Diceros bicornis minor: one gene and its partner. The protein of the gene in region 1 binds, or shares a complex with, the protein of each later gene. Links are inferred from orthologs where the notes say so. Each region holds a gene or a part of one and is shown on either strand. Other genes may lie near its edges.

The links.
Region 2: EIF3G (region 1) and EIF3M share a complex: the UniProt entries of both Homo sapiens proteins name them as parts of the eukaryotic translation initiation factor 3 (eIF-3) complex. The link is inferred for Diceros bicornis minor from reciprocal best matches to the Homo sapiens genes EIF3G and EIF3M.

The regions. Positions count from the first base shown.
Region 1 is NC_080769.1:9,003,883-9,011,608, reverse strand, and holds the start of EIF3G (eukaryotic translation initiation factor 3 subunit G), read right to left. Parts: upstream 3,304-7,726; 5' UTR 3,250-3,303; coding exon 3,230-3,249; intron 3,094-3,229; coding exon 3,047-3,093; intron 2,572-3,046; coding exon 2,488-2,571; intron 2,375-2,487; coding exon 2,286-2,374; intron 2,159-2,285; coding exon 2,099-2,158; intron 1,113-2,098; coding exon 1,008-1,112; intron 918-1,007; coding exon 728-917; intron 285-727; coding exon 177-284; intron 90-176; coding exon 1-89. UniProt on the Homo sapiens protein: RNA-binding component of the eukaryotic translation initiation factor 3 (eIF-3) complex, which is required for several steps in the initiation of protein synthesis.
Region 2 is NC_080746.1:87,831,566-87,839,379, reverse strand, and holds the start of EIF3M (eukaryotic translation initiation factor 3 subunit M), read right to left. Parts: upstream 3,266-7,814; 5' UTR 3,206-3,265; coding exon 3,164-3,205; intron 1,282-3,163; coding exon 1,149-1,281; intron 199-1,148; coding exon 60-198; intron 1-59. UniProt on the Homo sapiens protein: Component of the eukaryotic translation initiation factor 3 (eIF-3) complex, which is required for several steps in the initiation of protein synthesis.

The sequences.
Region 1 (7,726 bases):
GGAGCCGAAGGGCCGGAAGAGCTCCTGCAGGTCGGTTTCCCGCGTGTCCTCCGACAGATTGGTGACACGGATGGTAGCGTTGTCATCGGCTAGATGGCAGGGAGAGGCGGCTGTGAGGGGCGGGCCCCACCCACGGGCTAATCACAGGGTGCTGGGAGGTGCCCTCACCGCCTCACCTCTGCGGTTGGGCTGCATGGACTCCCCGCGGCGGCTGGCCCCGTCCCGCAGGCTCGGTGGCACGTACTTCCCTGTCTTGTTCTGGGTGGCCTGCACGGGCTCCAGCTCTGCAGACAAAGAGCACAGGCGGCTCAGGCCTCACCCTGGCGCAGACGGCGGGACAGACCTGCCCCAGGGTGCCAGCGGCTCCAGCCCCGACCCAGCCCCGCGCTGTCTGTCAAGCCACAGGCATCCGGTTCGTCCGAGCCCGGTGGCCACGATGACATAAAGGTCGCATCCAGGAAGCCAGCAGCACAGAGTGAGAACCCACAGGGGTTGACAACTAGAGTAATGCCCAGCCTCACGACACACAGGAACAGAGGCACACAGGACACAGACAGTCCCTGAGTCCCACACACACGAGTTGTGGGTGCACAGCCGTCCAGACTCGAGCTCGCCATCGGCAAACCCCGCTCAAGGAGACTCCAGGCAGACCCGTGTGTGTCTGCTCACAGGTGTGCATGCACACACCCACGTACACCCCCGACACACGCGGTGCGCCAGCCCGCACCTCCGGGCAGCTTCTCCTTCTCGCCCGTGGACAGGCCCAGCTGCTCGGCCAGCTCCTTCTGCATGGGCCCCAGCGTGTCCTTGTAGGGGCAGCGGGTGGTCCAGTGGTCGCCCTTGCAGATGCGGCAGGACACAATCTTCTGGCCCTTGAGCTTGTTCATCGGGTCCTCCTCCTCCTGGCAGTTCAGGTCCTGCGGGGTGGGGGGCGCAGCTCAGAGGGGGCTGCCGCACCCTGCCGCCACCACCTCCCAGGCCGCCGGCCCCGCCGTTGCCCCACTCACCTCTTTGCTGGTGATGAACGTCATGGACACATCGTCGCTCACCGTGGTGGTGGCCACATTGGGCCCCGGGGGGTCAAACTCGGAGTTTCCGAACTTCTTCCAGTTCTGGGCTCAGGGCAGGAGAGGGGACAGGTCAGGGCCAGGGCAGGTGGGGGCCCCCACCCACTGGCTCCTCAGACCTGCTATAGCCCCTTTTGGGATGTCTGGGCCCCATATCCCTCCCACAAGGGTGACGATGACAATTCCCATTTCCTGAGTGCATGTGAGGCCCTAGCGGGGCAGTGCAAGGCAGCCCTCAGCCCCAAGCTCCAGAGAGAACCGAGGCGCAGGGGGAAACAGCTTCACAGACAACAATTCCTGGGGGGCCGAGCAGGTGGTGGGCCAGCTCCCACTAGGGAGCGATGCTCAGGGGTGTACAGGGGTCCCCCAGACTTCAAGGGGCCTGAACCTCAGCTTCCTTCCCTACAAAAAGGGGACCACAATGCGCCACACCTCCCTGGGTTGCCATGAGGACTGAATGAGAAAACAGTGAATGCAAAGCATCTGGGTCTGGCACGGAGAAAGTATGCAAACAATCGTGCCAGAGGTTTTTACTGCTATGGCTTCTGGTCTGACCACCTTAGGGGAGGGCTTGGCTCTGTTCCTCCTGGCAGACAAGCCAAGAGGAGGCAGAATCAACCCTGCCCACTCCTGCGCCCTGGACTGTTCGGGGCACCCAGAGAATGAAACACCCCTAGGCCTCAGTTCTGCTCCAACAAAATAGGTACAAACAATTAAACCTCATTTCTAGAAATAAAGGCACTAGCGGGCCGGCCCCGTGGCTTAGCGGTTAAGTGCGCACGCTCCGCTGCTGGCGGCCCAGGTTCGGATCCCGGGCACGCACCGACGCACCGCTTCTCCGGCCATGCTGAGGCCGCGTCCCACATACAGCAACTAGAAGGATGTGCAGCTATGACAGACAACTATCTACTGGGGCTTTGGGAGAAAAATAAATAAATAAAATCTTTAGAAATAAAGGCACTAGGAAAAGGAGTCCTAATTCCTGAGTCAGTCCTGGGGTAGCCCCCAGGACAAGGGGAGCAGAGTCTCACCTTCCTCCTTGCCACAGCCTTTGAGGCCTTCCGGGTCTCAATTCTGAAGGTGCGGACGATCTGTGGATGGGAGGGAGAGGGTCGGCTTCCTGCGTCTCAAGGCTCCTGGGGCAGGCAATCTTGCTCCACACACCACCCGCTCGTGGCCCAAGCGCCCCCAAGCACAACCTTGAACCCCCAGCCTCACCTTGAACTTCTTGCCGTCCTCATCGATCTTGTACTCGGTCACTGTCTTGATGTTTCCGTTGATGACCTCCTTGGGAGGCGGCAGTGGAGCTGGGAGAGGGGAAGAGGGGCGGGGAACTGAGTCCTGGGTGATGGGGACCAGGCGGGAATGCGGCTGGGGAGACAGGCAGCCCAGGATGGAGTGGAGGTCGCCCGTCACTCACCTCCTGGCAGTAGCTCAGGCTCCGGGCTGGTGTCGCCGGTGGCCAGAGGGATCCCCTTGAGGAGCTCGCTGGTGACACATTTGTCTGTGAGAGGCAGTGGGGGGGAGGTCAGCAGGGGGGCGGGGTGTGCCAAGCTGAAACGGATGGACTTTGGGGATGATGCTCACACTGGGAGCTGAGGAAGGGGGGGCCCAAGAGCCAAGAAGTGCCCGGGGACAGCCGTGCGGGGACAGGGAGCTGGCTGTAGTGACCTCCAGCAATGGTAAGGATGGGGGCGGCAGGAAGGCGGGGGCAGCCCATAAAGGCATCCGGGCGCTGGTACGAAGGCAGGCGGCAGGTTGTGACAGCTTCTTCCCCCGAGCAGACGGGCAGCTGTGAGGGCTTGGGGTGGCACGGGAGGAGGAGGGGCCGGCCAGTGAGCCTCTGGAATTGGCGACAGGCCGTCCAGGAGGATGGCGCGGGGCAGGGGCTGGCGGTGCCAGGGCCGGGGGCCGGAGCAGGTGGCAGTGACCGGGCGGGGCGCTGGCTGCGGTGAGCCGGGGCGACCGGCCGTACTCACCGTCCTCTCCCTCCTCCTCCACCTGGTCGGCCCAGCTGGGCTTCGAACTGCGGGGACAAGTTCGCGGGGGGAAGGCGGGTCAGCGAAGCCCGGCTCCCGCGGCCTCGGGGCACCCAGGCTCCACAAGACTCCCCGGAACCCCCAAACCGCCTCCCGGGACCCCCGCCACCACCCCCGACTCACTCAAAGTCTCCGGTCGGCATTGCAAACCCTGCTCCACGCAGCCCAAGCCCGGGCCAGAGACCGGAAGTGAGGGGAGAACGAGACTTCCGGTGCCGCCGCCTAGAGCAGCCCGGCCGCGGCGCCCACAGCGCCCCCTCCGGACGGAGGTGGAGGCGCCGGCTGTGCGCGCCGCTGGGCGCCGGACCCAAGCCGGTAGCAGAGCAGAGGCGCATCTCAGCGCTTGTTCCGTTTACATTTAAAAATATTTTTTTAATTAATAATTACAGTAAAGTTCATTTATTGAGGGCTTGCCGTATGCCAGGCACCGTGAGGAGGAAATTATCATTTCCATTTGGCAGCTGAAGAAACCAAGGCTGGTCTTCCTTGTCTGGGAAGAGCGTTCTTGATTCAGACGATCAAGATGTCAAACGGCCCCCTCCAACATTCTTCCTGCTTTTCTTTATAACAGTCTCGGGCCCCTGATTTAATCTTTTCCATTTATTTGTTTACTGTCCAGCAGCTACCCCTCTAAAGCTTGCGTTCTCAATGGGAGCAATATGGCTCCCAAGGGCGCCACAATTAATTCTTGAGGGGCAAAAAAGAACCTTAGACATTACAATAGCTTGTGGCCCTCCAAAGCCAGCCCTATCGGATAAAATCTTATACCTAAGTATTTAATTTTTCTCGTTAGGGAGAAATTAAATGTAATTAAATTGAAATTAATTGATTTAAATTAAATTTAAAGATAATTCCAGTTTTCTTCTTAGAGGGGCGATAAGGGGGGGGGAAAAAAGGTTGAGAAACACTGCTCTAGAATGTCAGCTGCAGAAAGCAGACGTTTGCCTGCCTTGTTGATTCCTGGGTCCCCAGCACCCACAGAGTGTCTGTATACAGTAAGTGCTCAATTAATGGGCATTTGGGGTAGGGTGGGAACCAGATCATAAAGGATTTTTAAGCCAGACTAAAGAGTTTAGGCTCTTTATCCTCTATACCAGGAAGCAGGATGGGGAAGTGAGTGGAAGAAAGAGGGTGATCTAGCAATAAAGATGAAAATATAGTGTGTAAAAAGGGCCAGTAAACTTTTGTGCAAACTTACTCAAATTTACTCCAAGAAACGCAAAATTCAAACAACGTAGCAGATGGGAAAAACTTTAAAAATTGGATATCACCCAACAGCAGCAAAAATGTAGAGAAACAGACGCACACTTTGTTAGTGCATGAAACTATGCCAGCTCTTTGGACGGAAAATTGACATCTCCTAAGACTTAAAATACATGTATGTATTTTCCTTTGAGCCAGCTAAGATGATGAGAAAAACTCGTAAATGTGGTCAAATGCGTGAGAATAAGATATTCGTGCAGTATTGTTCGTGATAGCAAAAATTGGAAATGCCTATCTGCCCATCCATCAGGCTGGTTAAACAGATTAAGGTATGCTGTGATGTAATCTATGAAATGCCATGCAGTCTTTAAAGAAATAGATCGATTTGTGCTCGTGTTAAAAAAATCTCCAGGGCCGGCCCCATGGCTTAGCGGTTGGGTGCGCGCGCTCCGCTGCTGGCGGCCCAGGTTCGGATCCCGGGCGCGCACCGACGCGCCGCTTCTCCGGCCATGCTGAGGCCGCGTCCCACATGCAGCAGCTGGAAGGATGTGTGACTATGACATACAACTATCTGCTGGGGCTTTGGGGGGAAAAAATAAAAATAAATAAAATCTTAAAAAAAAAAATCTCCAACTCCAGAACTGTGAGAAATAAATGTCTGTTGCTTAAGCCCCCCAAAAAAATCTCTAAGAAGAAGCAAGATGCAAAATCGCATATGTTATAGAAACCAATTCGTGGGGGCTGGCCCACTGGCATAGGGGTTAAGTTCACACGCTCTGCTTTGGCACCTGGGGTTTGCAGGTTGGGATCCTGGCTGCAGACCTACACACCACTCATCGAGCCATGTTGCTGCGGCGACCCACATACAAAATAGAGGAAGATGGGTACGGATGTTAGCTCAGGGACAATCTTCCTCAGCAAAAAGAGGAAGATTGGCAACAGATGTTAGTTCAGGGCCAATCTTCCTCAACAACAACAAAAAAAAGTAAGTCTTTAATAGCACCTAGATACGTAGATATATGCAAGCTATTTTCTGAAAAGAAATATCAAACTGGTGCTGAAGTATGCTTTGAGAGGAAGGCGTCAGAAGAGGAAAGCTCATTTTTGGACTTTCCTGCTGTATTTAAAATTCTTTACCATGTGTCTATGTTATTTTGGCTTAAATGTAAATATACACATAAATCGAAAATTCTGTAGATATTAATATATAGTATGTGTTTGTGTAATGTATGTGAGCTGTAACATATAAATGTATTTTAATATATTTTGCATATATACTAACTTGCATTCCCTCGCCTAGGACTGGCCGAAGGAAATACACATCCAAGCGCACTAACTTGTCAGTAACAAAGTGTCTGCGCGGTGTGGCTTAAAGCATTGGAAAATTGAAAACAGCGCAATCATCATGAGTGAGGGATTAGCTAAACGTTGCCTCATTTGTAGAAGCACCACCCCAGGAGAGAAACTGTGCGCTTTTGTGGAGCCACAGAGCTGCCCAGAAAGACGTTAACCACTAAACATCGATGCTTCTGGGTGTTTCGATTTGGCCTCATCTTGACTTCCTTTCGGTATTTTTCTGTATGGAATACTTTTTTTCTTAAACATGGAGTGTGTATTGGTTTTACAAAAAGTCAGGTACTCCCTAAAGAAAAATAAAAGAGGCCCTGAGGGAGCATAGGGCAGAGGGGAGAAGCCTGAATCCAAGGGTGAATGGAAAGAAAGTTCTCGAGTCCCTCTTCTAGTCTTTCTTTGTGGCTCCTACATTCTTTCCACATCCAGAATCTCCACAGGACAGCAGCCAGGACGAGGGCAAAACCAACCCTGCAAAGCACATGAGGAGGAGTGAGGTCACGCACGGTGTGCCGTCCACTGGAAATTCTGCCGCAGCTTCAGGAAGATTCTCTAGATCACACAACGTGGAATTCCACTTCTTGGTAGTTTCCGTAAGAAACGGAAACACGTGTCCACAAGAAGCCACGCCTTACAATACATACACGAATGTTCATGGCAGCTTTATTCACAATGGCCCCAAATCTGAAACAACTTGAATTAGTTGGCTGGGGCTGCCTAATTAAGTATCACAGACCGGGGGGCTTAAACAACAGACATTTCTTTTCTCCCAGTTCTGGAGGGTGGAAGTCCGAGATCAAGGTGTCAGCCGGGTTGGTTCCTTCTGAGGCCTCTCTCCTTGGCTTGTTGATGGCCGTCTTCTCCCTGTGTCTTCACATGGTCCTTATTAGGACACCAGTCATATTGGACTAGGCCCACTCTAGTGACCTCATTTTAACTCAATCCTTTGAAGGCCTCATCTCCAAATACACTCACATTCTGGGGTACTGGGAAGTTAGAGCTTCAACATATGGATTTTAGGGGGACACAATTCAGCCCATAACACAACACAAAAGTCCGTCAACAGATGAATGGATAACCAAAGATGAACTGTGGTTCACCTCTACAGTGGAGTACTATACAGCAATGAAGAGGAGCAAGTGACTAATACATGCAATGACACAGATGCATGTCACAGACACAACAGAATAGACACTGTATGATTCCATTTGTGTGAAATTCTCAAACACGCAAAACCAATCTATAGTAATGGGAATCAGAACTGTGATCACCTCTTGGGGATGGGGAAGGGACTGGTTTGGGAGGGGCGCCAGGCATCCTTCCAGGGTGATGGGAATTTCCTACATCTTGATCTAGGTGGCTGATGACACAGGCAAATACACATGTAAAAAATAATCCAGCTACACGTCTAAGATCTGGGCACTAATAATACGATCTGGAGACGCACAAAGCAAGGTTCAGAGTCACTTCATCCCAATTTGCTGTTTTATTTTGATTATTTGATGCATTTCTAGCTCTTTAAAATTCCCTCGTTCACTTGTGTTGTTGTCTGCCTGCTTTGTCCTCGAGGCAGCGAGGGACGGTGTCACTCTGTCCTCGCTACACGCCCAGCCCCAGAACAGAGCCTGGGATGGTCGGCGCTCCATCGTTGCATGCTGTCGACGTAAGTTGTCAATTGCTAGTCACGGATGGCTGCGTGCGAGTGTGGACAAAGCCGATGGGCACAGGACACACGTGCGTCATAATGGTCACTGTGGGGATGACGGGGGCTCAGAGAGGCTTCCTCATGACACAAGAAGTGGAAAAAAGTGCCAACCGTTATGTTGGTGGTTGTAGGATTCACTATATTTTTTCTATGGCTGACCTTTCTTTAAAAACTCCAGACACGGTTGAGAGAGAAAAGCGGGCTGTGGACAGATACGTACAGAATAGCATTTACCTAATATTTCTAGAGACGCCGAGAATACTAAGTTTATGGACACGCAGATGTGGTAAGAGCTGAAAGACAGGGACAGGAAGGAAACACAGCAATGTTCTCGCAGTGGTTGTGTCTGGGGAAGTAGCAGA
Region 2 (7,814 bases), on another chromosome or scaffold:
ATGACAATGATATGAAAAGGACCCCTTGAAAACTGAGCCTCTTTCAAGTCGTAACTTACAATTGCAGTCTCAGAGACGGGCGTTCACCTTCCCGAAATTTGACCAGCTTTTCACACAGGCTTTCAATCAGAGCTTCTTGCTTATCTGGTTCCAGGATCAACAGGAGGGATACCACGCTGTTCATCACACTTTCAACATCTACACGTGAACGGATAACACAACAGTGATACTATCACACTTAATGTATCTAATTAAATATGTATTTCCAGTTTTAATACACCAAAGACCAGTAAACATGAACACTTCAAAAAGATATAATTTGGCTACTGTGAACCAGTTCTAGAGGACACTTTTTCTTCAATGGTGTGCATTATAGTAAAAATATAGCATACATGAATTCAAACTAAACCAGGTCTGTTGTACAGTTAACGTTCAGAAAGCAATTTGTACACTTTATTAAAGAAGAAGGAAATTATTACCTGAGACTTGGTTTTCAACTAGTAAAACTAGTTGAAGGATGATTTACATGTCTATATATACAGTTTCAATTTTTACTAGCAAGATATTCAATCATTTGGAAGTTATTGGTTAGGTCTTAGGCTAGGATGCTTTCCCAACTGAAAAAAACTTTGTACAAATAGAAAATTATTTAGATATAAAAGCTATCAACTTTCTGGTTGGGTCACTAACTTTCGAGTCTAAAATATTAATCATATGCCGAATTTAGTCTCAAATCTTAACTAGAGATTTCAGCACTCCAAATTTTCAAAACGTTTCATTTTATCTCAATAAATAGAGAATCAGCCAAATAAACAGCTTTTAGATTATATCCCATTTGATACTAATCTAAACCTTCTAAAAAGGAAAGAAAAGCTTCATTTTTTCCCTTTAGTTCATTCTGAAATTAACAGTATTTAGTGTGTGCAACAACACACAAACATACCTGATGTAAAAAAGATGTTTTCTCAAAATAGGCTTACTTCACAGGTATAACAGATTAGAATAAACTGAAAGTATGTGCAAAAATAAGATTAAAAACAACAGTGCTTATAAGTTCTAAGGTATAAAACAAATATAATTCACAAGAAAGTTTAAAAAGTAGGTCCTTTATGATCAGTAAGAAATATTACAAAAAATTAAAAACAAACCTTTATCATCTTCCTTCAGACACACATCACAGGCTTCGATAATCTGAGCTAAATCTACATGAAGTCCACCTTCAGAGTTCTCTTCCGAAACTTCAGCTCCTTTAGATTTCAGATAGGCTCGAAGCTCCGCAGCCTGTTGACTCAAATAAGGTTACTATGTATCTACAAAACCACCAACGGCAAAACACACGATCAAGTCGTTCTGCTCTACTTCTGAAGAAACAGATGTAAATACCGTGTTTAACAATGACTTGAAACTACGCGGAAGTGCCTCTCCCCCACCACATGCATCATCACAGCCCCACAGGTTTTCCTCTACAAGACCCAGAAGCTACAAAGACCCACTATGACCCACACGGATCACCTATACCCTGCTGGGCTTCCGGTACACAGCAAAAACCTTTCTAATATAACCCAAAGCCTTTGGGGGTGGGGTGGGGAGCAGAGTTGATCTGACTTGGTAAATTCGATCTGGGTTACTGCTCTCGAGTGTACATAACACAGCTACTTAAAAAAGTTGGAGGCGTTCCCTTGGCAAGAGGGTGTTCATTTGTCAATTACATGTTAGAGAACCTACCTGAGACAAGCATTCTGGATGACACAAAGATAAAACAGATGATGCCTTTGAATGTTGCCTTGAAGAAAATATTTATATCAAATTGGACCTACCATGTAATTAATCTTTTAAAATGCAAAATGCATGTCTGGACCAGAAAGCATCTTTGGACCTATAAAAACAACTACAGCACCGCGTCCAGGTATTTAGGCAGTTTCTACTGTAATGCACATACAATGTTTAATACCTTGTTCTCTTTAGAGCTAGGTATGGCAGCCAAACATGAATGCAAATGGTATTTAAGATGATAAAATGAAGAAGTGAAACAGGGAGAGCTAAGGATACCATTAGAAAATGCATAGGAATCACATTTCCTAAACCCACAAATGTTTGGCCACCTAAGAAAAGTATATGAAGTCTGCAGATAAGACGGTGCTACCTTTTCAGATAACAACACTAACTTCACGTATGAGCTAGTATTACAAACAAGATATATCAGAGGCCACAAAAACACCAACGGAAAGCACGCTTCTTTATGAAGGAAACATACCATGGTCCAAAATCAAGACATTTCTTCAGTCTCTGCTCTGCGGACACAAAGCAAACTTCTAAGACTACTCAGTCAAGTTTACTGTTCCTGGCTGTCATCCTCTCCGGCCACAGCGGCGGCGGCGGGGCACAAGCGAAGGAAAAGAAACAGGGAGCCTCCACCCCATTCCGTAACCCTCGTCACAGAGCACCCGGCCCAAGCTCAGCCGCGCGACTACCGCCTGCGTCCCGAAAGGGACGGCGAGTGGCAGGCGGCAGCACAGCCACCCGGAACGACACGCCGACACCGCAGCCGGGCAGGAGCTCGCGCGTCCACACCCGCGCGCCCGCGCCCGACGCCCGCCGCGCCTCCTTCCCCTCTCCCCTTTTCCCCGCCCCGCCACGGAGCGAACCACACCCGCGGCCCGAACAGCGGTCCTCTCGGAAGCCCCCCGAGACCCCACGTCGGCGGGGCAGCAGGGGCAGCAAGGGCGCGGCGCCGGGAGCCACGTGACAGCGTCCTGCTCCCGACATCACCGGAGCGCGCACCTCGCGCCCAGTCTCGGCCGCCGCAGCCGGACCCCCGTGGGCGACGCGCAGGGCGCCGCCCCGCCCCGCCCCGCCCCAGACGGAGCCCTTAACCGCGAGCCGGGCCGGCCGCCTCCAGCCGCCGGCGCCCGCGACCGGCAAAACCGGCCCTCCGACCCTCTCCGCCGCCCGCCCGCGGCCGCAGGGCCGGGAGCAGACCCCGCGCCCCCGAGCCGCCGGGGACCCGGGCAGGAAGGGCCCGGCGCCGACCGGACCGGCCGCGGGCCTCGGATCAGCGCTGGGCCGCCGGGCGGACACAACTGCGGCCCGAGCGCGCGCCCTGCCCTGGAGCCGCCCTCCCCCCAGGCCCAGCCCGCCCGGGGCCCCGCGGCCGGGCGCACACCTGGTCCTCCTCACTGATGTCGATGAAGGCCGGGACGCTCATGGCGAAGGCCGGCCCGACGACGGTCCACTAGCACACCACGCCGACCGGAAAAGGGAGCTGGGCGGTGCCTCACAACCGCTTCCGGGTCACGCCGCGCAGCTCCTGAGGGGCGGGGTCACTGGGACGGCGGGCCACCCGGGCCAATCGCAGCGCGCTCTGGCCGCGACTGGGGGCGGGGCTGGGGCACGGGGCCAATCCCAGGGCGCGCTCTGGCCCCCTCTCTCGCCCTCCCGCGCCGCCGCCCGCGACCTCTGACCGCTGCAACGGCGCGGCTGACTGTCGTCAGCGTTACCGCCCGCCCGCGGCTCGCTCCCCCGTGACGTTTTAGGCCCGTTTGGTCAACGAGACTCGCTGGTGCTCGGAACAGGTGTTCTCTCTGGCCACGCCCCTCTACCTGCGGGCTCAGGCCGCCCTCGAGCGCCTCGGGCGTGGCTCCCGCCGGGCCGCCTCCCCGTCCCCGCCGCAGGCAGTGTCCCGCGCGGGGACCGTGGTTTTCAGGAGAATCCGCGGCCTCGTCCGGGGTGCGGAGCGCGGCGTCCCCGGGGGCGCGGAGGGCAGCGCGGACGACGGTGTCCGCGGCGGGGCGGGCTCGGTTCCTCCCCGAGGGTGAGGCCCGCGGAGGTTAACGTGTAGCGGGCGGGACGCGGCGAGCGCCGACTGCACCCCGGGAGGGGTGTGTGTGAGCGCGCACGCCCGGTCCTGGAGCGGGCAGAGACGGCTCCGGTGATGCGGGGAGCGGAGCGGGCGCGGGCGGTGCTAGCGAAGAGGCCTGCAGGAGAGCTTCGTGCGGGAGAGGCGAGGAAGGGGCGTGAGGAGGAGGGGCCGGGGCGGACTCGGCCGAGGGGAGGGCAGGACGGAGGGGAGAGAGCCGTGGTCGGAGTTGGGGCTTTGGCTGGTGAGTTGGCGAGCCCGTGACAGGTCTGGAGCGGAAGGAGGAGGACATGGAACTGTTTCTGTGCAGGGTCACTCTGGCAGCTGTGTTGCAAATTGGTGTGAGTTGGGCAAGGGCCAAAGCAGGGAGACTCTTTAGAAAGCGATTGCAGAGGCCGAGCAAGAGAAGACAGTGAGGGGTGGTGAGAAGCTGGTTGGTAAACTGATAAGATTTACTGACAGATCATATACGGGGTATGAGGGAAAAAGGAACTCAAGGTGACTCCAAAGGTTTGGCCTGAATTCCAGCCAACGTCTTCCAATTTTCTGGGGCAGACTATCACCTGCAGCAGTTGCAAGCTTGCCTCTTATTTAAAGGCGGGAGAAAACAGACAAGCAGGCCTTGATACACCCTGAGATGATTATTGTTTAGGAAATTAGGGCAAAGTAAGTTTTAAAAAAAAATGATGGGAAATTCAATAGTAGGAAAAAGAACAACCCAATTTTAATGCAAATTACAAACATAGTGAGATACTGCTACACAGTTACTATGAAAGCTAATTTTTAAAAACCTGACAATACAATAATAAGGATGTAGAGCAACTGGAACTCTAATAAATTGCTGGTAGGGGGCCAGCCCAGTGGCGTAGTGGTTAAGTTCACATGCTCCGCTTTGGGTTTGCAGGTTCGGATCCCGGCACAGACCGATGCACTGCTTGTCAAGCCATGCTGTGGTGGTGTCCCACATAAAGTGGAGGAAGATGGGCACGGATGTTAGCCCAGGGCCAATCTTCCTCAGCAAAAGGAGGAGGATCGGCGTGCAAAATGGTAATGGTAATCAAGACAGTGTGGGATTGACATCAAGATAGACAAATCAATCAAAGGAAGAGAATGGAGAGCTCAGAAGTAGACTCGCACATGTCAATTGATTTTTGACTAAGATGCAAAGGCAATTTAGTCTTCTCAACAAATGGTGCTGGAACAATTCTATATCCATATTTGAGAAAAATGAAATTGAATCCATACCTTATACTAAATGGAAAAATGCACTTAAAATGGATCTTAGACCTAAATGTAAAATATAAAACTATTAAACTTCTAGGAGAAAACATGGAAGAAAGTTTTTGTGACCTTAGGTTAGGCAAAGATATTTTTAGATACATCTCTGAAGGCATGATCCCTGAATGAAAAAAAGTGGTAAACTGGACTACATCAAAATTAAGAACTTCGGCTCTCTGAAAGACACTGCTACGAGAATGAAAAGACAAGCCACAGACTGGGAGGAAATATTGGCAAACAACACGTCTGATAATGACTTGTATCGAGAGTGTATGAATGTATAAAACTCAATAACAACCAATCCAATTAAAAAGTGGGCAAAAAATTTGAACAGGTGGCATCAAACAATACATACAGATATCTGATAAGCACAAGTAAAAATACCAACAGTATTAGTCATTAGGGAGATGAGAATTAAAACTACAATGAGATACCACTATGTACTTACTAGAATATCTAAAATTAAAGGACTGACCATACCAAGTGTTGGCAGGCATGTGTGGGATCCAGAATGCTCGTATACTGCTGCTACAAATGTGAAATGGCACAACCACTTTGCAAAAGAGGGGCAGTTTCTTAAAAAGTCGAACATCCACCTACCCTATGACCCAGATATTCTACCCCTAAATCTTTACCCAAGAGAAATGAGAGGGTGTGTCCATACAAAGACTTGTACATGAATGTTCATTGCAACTTTTGAAATTTGCTAAGAGAGTAGTACTTAAATGTTCTCACCAAAAAGAAAAAAAAAAGTAAATAGGTGATGGGTGTGTTAATTAACGTTGGGAGAATCCTTTCACAATGTATACGTATGTCAAATCATCACATTGTACGCTTTAAATAACTTACAATTTTGTTGGTCAGTTATACCTCAATAAAGGTGAAAAAATAACAGCTTTATTGAAATATAATTCCAATATCATAAAATTCACACTTTTAAATTATACAATTCAGTAGTTTTTAGTATAGTTACAGAATTGTGCAACCATCACCCCTATGTAATTTTAGAATATTTTCATCACCCTAAAAGAAACTGTACTCATTAGCAAGCACTCTCCATTCCTCACTCCCTCAATCCTTAGCAACCACTACTTTCTGTCTATGAATTTGTCTATTTTGGACAGTTCATATAAATGCAATCATACAATACGTGGCCTTCGGTGCCTGGCTTCTATATTTAGCATAATATTTTCAAGGTTGTGGCATGTATCAGTCCTTCATTTTTATTGCTTAATAATATTCCATTGTTATGAATATACCACCTTTTGTTTGCCCATTCATCAGTGGATGCACGTTTGGCTTGTTTCCATTTTTTGGCTATTATGACTAATGCTTCTATGAACATTCACACACAAGATTTTGTATGGATGTATATTTATAATTCTCTTGGGTATATAATTAGGGGTGGAATTGCTAGGTTATGTGGTAACTTTATGTTTAGCTTTTTGAGGAGCTATTTTCCAAAAAGACAGCAGCTTTATTTTTAATAGCCAAAAACAGGAAACAACCCAAATGTTCCTCAACAGGTGAATGGATAAACAAATTGTTACATATCTATGTAATGGAATACTACTCTGCAATAAAAAAAGATGAACTACTGATACATGCAACAGTATGGATGAACGTCAAAATAATTTTGCTGCGTGAAAGAAGCCAAACATACTGTATGATTCCATTTATATGGAACTCTAGAAAATACAAACTAAAGTGGCAGCACTGTAGATTGTTGTTGCCTGTGTGAGAGGGACTAGGCAAGGAGGAGGGAGAGATGAGTTACAAAGGGGCATGAGGAAGCTTTGGGGGTTATGGATATGTTCATTATCTTGGTTGTGATTGTGTCATGGTAGTGTACATATATAAGATTTAGCAAGTTGTGCACTTGAAAATGTGCAGTTTATTGATATCATGATTATGCCTCAAGATAAACAAATGGGAGGCAAAGAAAAAAAAAAAGTGGGCAGGATAGAAAACATCTGAATAGACTAAACTTGAAAGGATTCATTCCTGCATGGATACCCTTGATGATGTAGAGACTGAGCCTGCAGGCAGGGAACTTGTGTGTCAGGTCTCACTGTGTTCCCTCCACCCACCTCAGTGTGCAGCACCCCTGCAGGCACTCAGTAGGTGTCTGTGGATGTCTGCTGGTTCTAAAGGAGTAATCTCTGAGCTCCTCCCAGAGTTCTAGGAATACAAACTAAAAGATACACGTACTCTTTCATCAAACATTCCCAAGTCTTATACTTTTTGCTATTTTTCTTCATTCTGTGGTCTTTGTGAAGTAAAAAAACATCCTTTCAAGGGAAGTTCTTGAAAAGGAGATAGTGAAAGGATATGGGCAAAATTATTTGAAACTTTAAACTTTCGTTTATTCTTACATATATATTCATCTTTATTATGTGTCAGATACTGTTCAGGCACTTGGATACCAGAAAGAACAAAATTAAAGGATACATCTTGAATGGGGATAGGAATGCTTATGTGTCCCAGCTTGAAATCCCTTTTTTTTAACTTTTCTCCTGATTTTCTAAACACAGGACATTGGTTTCCATTCCTAATAGCTACTGGATAGGAGAACCACTCCCAAGTGAGCTATAGGGACCAACTTCATGGGAAAAGGTGAATATTCTATATTCCTATGCTTTATATTCATTTAAAATGATATCTGAGACCAAACTGATTT